Drosophila melanogaster: one gene and its partner. Changing the gene in region 1 together with any one later gene gives a genetic interaction. Each region holds a gene or a part of one and is shown in the gene's direction. Other genes may lie near its edges. The genes, in order: WRNexo and spn-A.

Evidence for each region.
Region 2: of WRNexo (region 1) and spn-A, changing one enhances a phenotype caused by changing the other (phenotypic enhancement), as found in Drosophila melanogaster (one study listed by BioGRID).

Annotation. Positions count from the first base shown.
Region 1 is NT_033777.3:18,363,498-18,367,816, reverse strand, and holds WRNexo (WRN exonuclease), read left to right. Parts: upstream 1-1,654; 5' UTR 1,655-1,721; coding exon 1,722-1,781; intron 1,782-1,837; coding exon 1,838-1,906; intron 1,907-2,040; coding exon 2,041-2,145; intron 2,146-2,203; coding exon 2,204-2,409; intron 2,410-2,471; coding exon 2,472-2,696; intron 2,697-2,751; coding exon 2,752-2,995; intron 2,996-3,051; coding exon 3,052-3,207; 3' UTR 3,208-3,573; downstream 3,574-4,319. Other genes in the region: Nup43 (nucleoporin 43kD), read right to left, coding at 1-749, 815-1,097; hmw (hemingway), read right to left, coding at 3,634-3,771, 3,834-3,993, 4,048-4,319. UniProt on the Drosophila melanogaster protein: Has exonuclease activity on both single-stranded and duplex templates bearing overhangs, but not blunt ended duplex DNA, and cleaves in a 3'-5' direction. Essential for the formation of DNA replication focal centers.
Region 2 is NT_033777.3:30,054,167-30,057,907, reverse strand, and holds spn-A (spindle A), read left to right. Parts: upstream 1-1,870; 5' UTR 1,871-1,968; coding exon 1,969-2,046; exon of another isoform or gene 2,047-2,109; coding exon 2,110-3,042; 3' UTR 3,043-3,212; downstream 3,213-3,741. Other genes in the region: CG7950 (uncharacterized protein), read right to left, coding at 1-449; Rpp14a (ribonuclease P/MRP subunit p14 a), read right to left, coding at 465-768, 874-905; Rpp14b (ribonuclease P/MRP subunit p14 b), read right to left, coding at 1,353-1,659, 1,741-1,772; Jasper (JIL-1 anchoring and stabilizing protein), read right to left, coding at 3,603-3,741. UniProt on the Drosophila melanogaster protein: Plays an important role in homologous strand exchange, a key step in DNA repair through homologous recombination (HR). Binds to single and double-stranded DNA and exhibits DNA-dependent ATPase activity. Underwinds duplex DNA.

The DNA of each region.
Region 1 (4,319 bases):
GCAGACCAGACGACTTCCATGCACATCGAAGGAGTTGATGGACTTGCGAACATTACTCAGCACTCCCTCCACATCGACCAGGGAGCGAACACGATCGCCAGACAACCAGGGGCTGTGTCCGTCTTTGTTATAGTCGCACCCGAGAACTTTGTTCTCTGACCACATCCACACCTCGCCACCTTCTGCGGCGGTGAACAGTTTGCTGGGATCCTTTTGATGGAAGCCTATCTCGTTGATGGGACTTTTGTGAGCGCTGAGATAGGAGGCGGGATAACTGAGGTTTCGCATATCCCAGACGGTTATGGAACCCTCTTCGCTGCCGCAAAGTAAAATATGTTGCTGCATCGGATGCTTGGCAAGGGACGAGACAAAGTTCGACTTGTCATCCTGGGAGGCCACCATAAAGGTGGTCTTCGGCTGCGCTTCAGTGGCCACTCGGGCGTCCAGCATTCGGATAACACCCATCCTATTGGCAGTCACCAGTTCCTGCTGGCTGATATAGCAAATGGAAAACAGCGCCATGCTGTCCGCCTCAATCTGTCGCTTCACCTGGCGCACATTTTCCACGGAGACGATGCTTACACACCCATCCTCGCCGGCGGTGGCGATATCCGTGCCGTAAACAGAAAGGTCGGTGCAAGGAGCGGGCTCCTGGCTACGTTGGAAGCAGTGCAGACGTCCCGATCGGGACGTACGTTGCATCTGATCCTCCTCCACGGCTCGATGGACGTTAAACACGCTGAGATGACCTTGTTTGGTATTAAAATAGACATTTATTTAGCTGAGTTCATGATTGCTGGAACTTGTAACTGACCATCGGCACAGCTCACAGCCAGCGTGTCCTTGTCGACGAACTCCATGGCGGTCACATCGTCCTCCATTCTCACCTTGTCCATGCAGCGAGGTATCTGGTCCACTTCCGAATCCGTGGCGGTGACATATTGGTTCGATTGTAGCCGCCAGAGGCGCACGAAGTTCTGGTCCATGTCCCAGCTTCCAGTAACGAACCGTTCGCTCTGCTGCAGTTCCTCCGGAAGCCAGCGCACTTGGGACACCTTCTCGGATATGTAGTGCGTGGAAACGTTTGCAATGGACATCTTTTCGTTGGATTTAGCAGAGGATTCGCGATGTAAACAAAATAATGCGGCTTTCGAGTTAAGTGTGACCAGAGCAAGAAGATCGCAACATATCTTAGCGGGAAACTTAATCTGGTATCTATAAATTGGGCAGGGCTGGAAACAAAAGCAGAAAAATTGTTATGTGGATCTATATTATGGTACTTAATGAGCTTATCTCAAAAACGATTGGTAATTCTATTATGAAATTTTCCTGAAATATCCTTTAAGGTGGTCAAGCTTGCACAGGCTCTGCGAGTGGAGATGTCCCCCAAAATGTGGGGCGCCAATTTTTCAATAGCATATTATATATACTTTCTTGAGTCCTATAAACTTATTTCGCACATAGATAGTTATATCTTTCTTTTCTTAAAAAAATTGCATTTTTAGTTTATCGAATTCACCTTGAAATAACAATAATATAAATAAATAAAAAACATTTCCTTGTTCCAAATTCTACCGTTCCTTCATAACTCATCAAGGCACTTATCGATTGTCACAGTATTTTTTCGTACTGTGGTGTTTATGTGCGCCTACCCCTCCATATTTTTGGCGGGAAATAATAGTAAACAAAGCATTTAAGAAAACGAACAAGCAACGCGGGTTATGGAAAAATATTTAACAAAAATGCCCATCAAATCAAAAGCAAATGAAGTTCCCAAGGAAGTAGGCTAATACACAATTTCGTGCAGGGATAAAAACTAACTTAAAAGTATTTGTAGGAGGCGGGCGTCAAAAAGGAGACTCCCAAAGTGGCAAGGAAAGCAACAAAAAAGGATACTCCAAAAGAGGTTTGCATTTGTTTATTATTTAGAATTTATTATTTAAAATACTGCTACTGCTTTTTTCAAAACTAAGAATCGGTTTCTGTAAATCGGAAGCAATAATGACTATGTATACTATTTCAACCGAATAAATCTTGCAGTTGAAAGATAAAGAAAATGCTGGAGATGATAATACGCCAAAGCAAACGAAAGGAAGACCCGGTAGACCGGCTGCCAAGCGAAAAAATCTGGATACTCCAGATGTGGTAAGCAACAATTTATATATTAAGTTTATATTGGGACGAAGCATTAACAACTTTATAGAAGACTGAGAAGTTAGCGATGGAGGAAGAAAATCCGCCCAAGCGCCGGAGTTCCAGGCTGACCAGAAGCACTCGTTCAATGGCAGAGGATGGGTCTCCATCACCGGAGAAGGAAAAGCCCGAAAAGCTTCCCTTTATTAAATACAAGGGTGCTATAAAGTATTTCACGGAGAGCCAGGATATTGCGGCATCTGCTGACGATGTTTTGTAAGTTAACTCTATAACTTATTCCTGCTTGTTAATAATGTGCATTAAAAATCAAAACTTAGGCAATGGGTGGAAAAACAAAAAGATGAGGTAGTGCCCATGGCCTTCGACATGGAGTGGCCCTTCTCTTTCCAAACAGGACCTGGCAAGTCTGCCGTCATCCAGATATGCGTGGATGAAAAGTGCTGCTACATATACCAGCTGACTAATGTGAAGAAACTGCCTGCGGCCCTGGTGGCCCTTATCAATCATCCCAAAGTGCGATTGCATGGCGTGAACATAAAGAAGTTAGTTATACAAAGGAAAAATCCATTTGGATAAATAAAATCTGTTATTTTCCAGCGATTTCCGAAAGCTGGCACGTGATTTCCCCGAGGTTACAGCCGAACCACTGATAGAGAAATGCGTGGACTTGGGTCTTTGGTGCAATGAGGTCTGTGAGACCGGCGGGCGCTGGAGCTTGGAGCGATTAACCAACTTTATAGCCAAGAAGGCCATGGACAAAAGCAAGAAGGTGCGCATGAGCAAGTGGCATGTCATTCCGCTGGACGAGAATCAACTAATGTACGCCGCCATCGATGTCTATGTAAGTTGATATTCACTTTTCCATACAATTTCGTTCAATCTTAGTTTTCTTTTCAGATTGGTCAGGTTATCTATCGTGAATTGGAACGCCGCGAGAAGGTCAAGATTAAAAATGAAGAAGAGTTCAAGGAAAAGAACGGAGATGCTGCCTTTAAAGCAATGAAAGCATTGGGAGAGACATTTCTGACCAAGATCAACGAGGTGACTCTGTAAGCTTTTCTTTGAAGTTTCAGATATGCCATCTAATTCCTTTTACCTGTTTAAATATTTTCGCCTTCTTTCATTTATTTTCGGGAGTTTTTCTTAGTTTAATTTGTTACCAACGTGCTGCAAAATAATTGTTAAATTTAATATTGCTATCCAATTCGATTATTGATTACGATAACATTTATAGAATTGTTTATACCTAAATGTACAAATTATAAACACATTTTGATGCATTGACTTTGATCGGAACGAAATTTTACTAGTACTATACATTTTTGCATGAATTCTAGTTGGTTTATAAATTCCCTTAAAATTATATTAAGATTATACAGCTTTTTACACTTTTCAACTTGCAATAAATTTTAATTTTGTAAATTCGCATAAACACTTTTAATTACTTAATGAACACAGTTGGAGCTGCCTGTGGAGGCGTCACTTGAATTGCGGTCGCCGTGTGCCGATGGCCTCCAGTTTCCGCTTGAGCAGATCGTTGTCCAGGTCGATCTGGCGCTGATTCTTCTTCCGGTTCACAGCTGCGCTGGACAGTCGTGGCGCTGGAGGTGTCTGTCGCTGTATGACATTGTTAAGGAAGAGGTTTAATATTGGACATAAGTTCTATATTATGTACTCACCTTCTCGGGCCCATTGATCTTTATGCTACTGGTGCTAGCCTTGATCGTCGCCGTGGGCTTCACAGTCATCATCTTGCGCAAAAGAATCTGATTCTGGCGCTCGATCTCGCGCACTTGGGGATTCGTAAAGCTAAAGCTTTTGCGCCCAAGGTTTTTATAGCTATGCAGATGTAATTATATGTAATAGAGTGTATAAGTATTATAAGTTACTTACTTAATCTTATCATTAGAGCAGCGGGAACGCGACACATTGATTTGATACTCGCAACCGTCGCTGTTGAAGGTGCTTGGAGTTCCGCTAACGGCTCGCCTGTTTAACTCCATTGGTTTGCGCTGTTGTGGATGCCTCATGAGTCCGTCGCCCTGGCCACATTCGTCTACGAGGTAGCCTTCGCCCAAGCCGAAGTTCGCTGCCAGGTCATGGGGCAACTCGTGACCCATATCCAGTTTCTGCTCGTGTTCAATTAAATCCGATTCCGAGGGACA
Region 2 (3,741 bases), about 12 Mb from region 1:
TTGGGGGACACCAGCTCATCGCCGCCTCCGTTGTTGCCCACATCCGCCAGCGGATCCGCGTTCTGGCCACCAACTGAACCGGCATCCGTGTCCAAGGCCTCGCTCAAGCCATCATCGTCGTCGTCATCACCGCCAGATTTGTTGTACACGGTGGGGTACTTCTGGAAACAGTCGCGCATCTTGGTGAAGGCATCGTAGCAGTCCGATCCCTTGGGATCGGCGGTGCTGTTCTGGAAGCAGGAAAATGCCTCACGGAAATCGACGCCACAGGGACCGGTGGCCATGCCGCCGAGGCAGGGACAACTCCAGTTGATCTTGCCGTCCTTGGTGATCACGCCCTCCGGCTTTTCCGGCGGCGGCAGCTCGATGGTGCTGGGCGTGGCATGGTCCTCCTTGGTCACAAAAATCACCTTGTCCTTGCCGTACTCCTTGCAGTAAGAGAATGACATCCTGATGCGGTAATGCTAGTTAAATGCTACAAACTCCTCGGGGGATTCCTCAAAATCCAAGGGCTTTCGGGATGTGCTGAGCACCTGAAAATGGCAGGGCACCTCCTGGTAGTATCCTATTAGGGCTATAGCTACGCGAACGCGATCCAGGACGTTCTCGGGCACCCGGAGAATGGAGCGTTTTTGGCTGGAACTAAATTTCACAATTTCCAGTATGGTCTGGCCACCTATTTCGCCAAAAATACTAGCCAAGGAGCTATGGATGCAGCCACAGAAGAATACGGGCGTCAGAGTCACGGAGTCTGGATCACGGAGTTTTCTGGCGATTAAAAACGTGAATTATCTTAATTATATTTGCATGATGCACGTGCGCACGTGGGAAATACGGGGCTTTAAGGAGCGGGGCTGAGTGCCCGGAACTCACATCTTCACGTCCAGATATTGGTAACCACTCATGCTTTGGGTGCAAGTGCCAGTGCCCCTCTTTTTTTGGCGGAATCTTCGGGAAAAGTCGTCCAAAAGTTGCCGGTCAGTGTGTTTTTTTTATGTAATTACTCCCCTTTTTTGCTGTTTCTTTCTGCTTCTCAAACAGCTGTGCGCCGCCAGAGATGCCAGCTCGGCTCACAACGGACATGAGTAGTTATAAAATAGCTAAAATTATAGCCATTTATTAAAACATTTAAATTGTTATTGGAACTACTTAAATGCAATTTTATTAAAATGGTTACAAGTTTATGGGGTTTTTCCGCTTTTTAATCTCATTTAGTAGCCATCACAGAAATCATTTCAGTTCGTTGTGAATGACAAAAAAATCAGATCACAGTAAAATCAGTTAGGATTCAAATTCAAATTCTTCATGACGGTTATAATGTATATTACACTGAGTATTACAATTCGCTAGTCCTAATCATCGGACACAACCGCGACAGTCTTTTCAATGCTCTTCTCAAAGTCCAGCGATGATTTGGATGTTTCCAAGATCTCAAAATGACAGGGTATCTGCTGGTAGTGACCGATGAGCTCAATGGATATGCGGGTCATGTCGTGCAGTTGCTCTGGCACTCGAAAGATAACACGATGTTGCTGGGCGCAGAACTTCACGATCTCCAGTGTGGGTTTCTCCTCGCAGAAGAAACTGTCCAGGGCGTCAAGAACGCAGCTTCGAAACAGAGATGGGGTCAAAGCAACTGCAGTCGGATCCCGAAGTTTACTATTAAATAAATGAATATATTTACTGAATTTAATAACAACCAAGTTTATATTAATGACCGCAGAACATCATTCTACTCACAGTTTGATGTCGAAATAGTAATAGTTCGCCATGGTGATCTTGCGCGTTCCTTTTAAGCGGGATCCTCTGTAGTGATAGAGTTTTGTGCGTTCGGGGCGATTGGCAAACTGATTTTGCAGTGAATTGCGCGCCGCGCAGTCTTTGTCGAAATTCTCTCACGCAAGACGTGCAATTTAAATAACGAAACTCGAAACAACAAATAGTCAAATTTAACTTCGAAACTGTCAAATGGAGAAGCTAACGAATGTTCAGGCACAGCAGGAAGAGGAGGAGGAAGAAGGTCCACTCAGCGTGACTAAGTTAATAGTGAGTAGGCTGCGATCTCGACCAGGATTATTATGGGCATTCCCTACGATATCCTCCTCCTAGGGCGGCAGCATCACGGCCAAGGACATCAAGCTGCTCCAGCAGGCCAGTCTGCACACCGTGGAGTCGGTGGCCAATGCCACCAAGAAGCAACTGATGGCCATTCCCGGCTTGGGCGGCGGCAAGGTGGAGCAGATCATCACGGAGGCTAACAAACTGGTGCCTCTGGGCTTCCTTAGTGCTCGCACCTTCTATCAAATGCGTGCCGATGTCGTGCAGCTGAGCACGGGCTCCAAGGAGCTGGATAAACTGCTGGGCGGCGGCATTGAGACGGGATCCATTACCGAGATCTTTGGCGAGTTCCGCTGCGGAAAGACCCAATTGTGCCACACTCTGGCAGTAACCTGCCAGCTGCCCATCAGCCAGAAGGGCGGCGAGGGCAAGTGCATGTACATCGACACGGAGAACACCTTCCGTCCGGAGCGTTTGGCTGCCATCGCGCAAAGGTACAAACTGAATGAATCCGAGGTGCTGGACAATGTGGCCTTCACCCGTGCCCACAACTCAGATCAGCAGACCAAGCTCATCCAGATGGCGGCGGGCATGCTCTTTGAGTCCAGATACGCTTTGCTGATTGTGGACAGTGCCATGGCGCTCTACAGATCCGATTATATTGGTCGCGGGGAGCTGGCCGCCAGGCAAAACCATTTGGGCTTATTTCTGCGCATGCTTCAACGCCTGGCCGATGAGTTCGGAGTGGCTGTGGTAATTACTAACCAGGTTACTGCCTCGCTGGACGGCGCACCCGGCATGTTTGATGCCAAGAAGCCCATTGGCGGGCACATCATGGCCCACTCCTCAACCACGCGGCTGTATCTGCGCAAGGGTAAAGGCGAAACCCGCATCTGCAAGATCTACGACTCGCCCTGTTTGCCGGAATCGGAGGCCATGTTCGCCATTCTGCCGGATGGAATAGGAGACGCCAGGGAGAGCTAATTGTGCTCACTTATAGGTTAATTAATGCTAGGAATAGAGCTCCCTAACTTTCTAATGATTACTTATCCCTAGACTAAGAATTAAACTTCGTAGATTGTTTTTTTTTTTGTTTTAATGTTTACTTAGAATGTTTAGGATAACGACGAAATAAAACAGCCGTTGCGAATTGTATGTACCATCTATATTTAATTCAATATTATTCAAATCATCTACAAACTTAGAAAATATTTAGGGGTTTCGAAGCAAAAACCTTTTTTTTAGTCTGGTAATAAGCGGATGCAGCAGGAAAAGCCCCATCAGCGCAGCGTAACACGACATGCACCTGGCAGGCAAACAGAATTAAGGAATTTAGCTGAATTTTTAACCTAGAATTAAGCATAGCCCACTTGGCTCATCAAAACTTTGTCATCCAAAGCACGGTCTTTAAGTTGCCTGGTTTGTAACGCTTACGAGTAACTGCAAGAAAGAGGATTCTTGAAGATGTGTTTCAACTCAGCGGTTTGCGGTTTCCCATCCTACCTTATCATGTAATTGGTCCAGCAGAACTGGTCCTCGATCATTTACTGTGGAGCCGATCCGGCTGAAGCGGCGGCCTCCTTGGCCAAAACCAGGCTATTATATCCGCGCTCGTTCATCCCGACGCGAAGGTTTTCGTTGATATTTTTCGTATAGGTCTTGTAGATTTTTACCTTTTCGCAG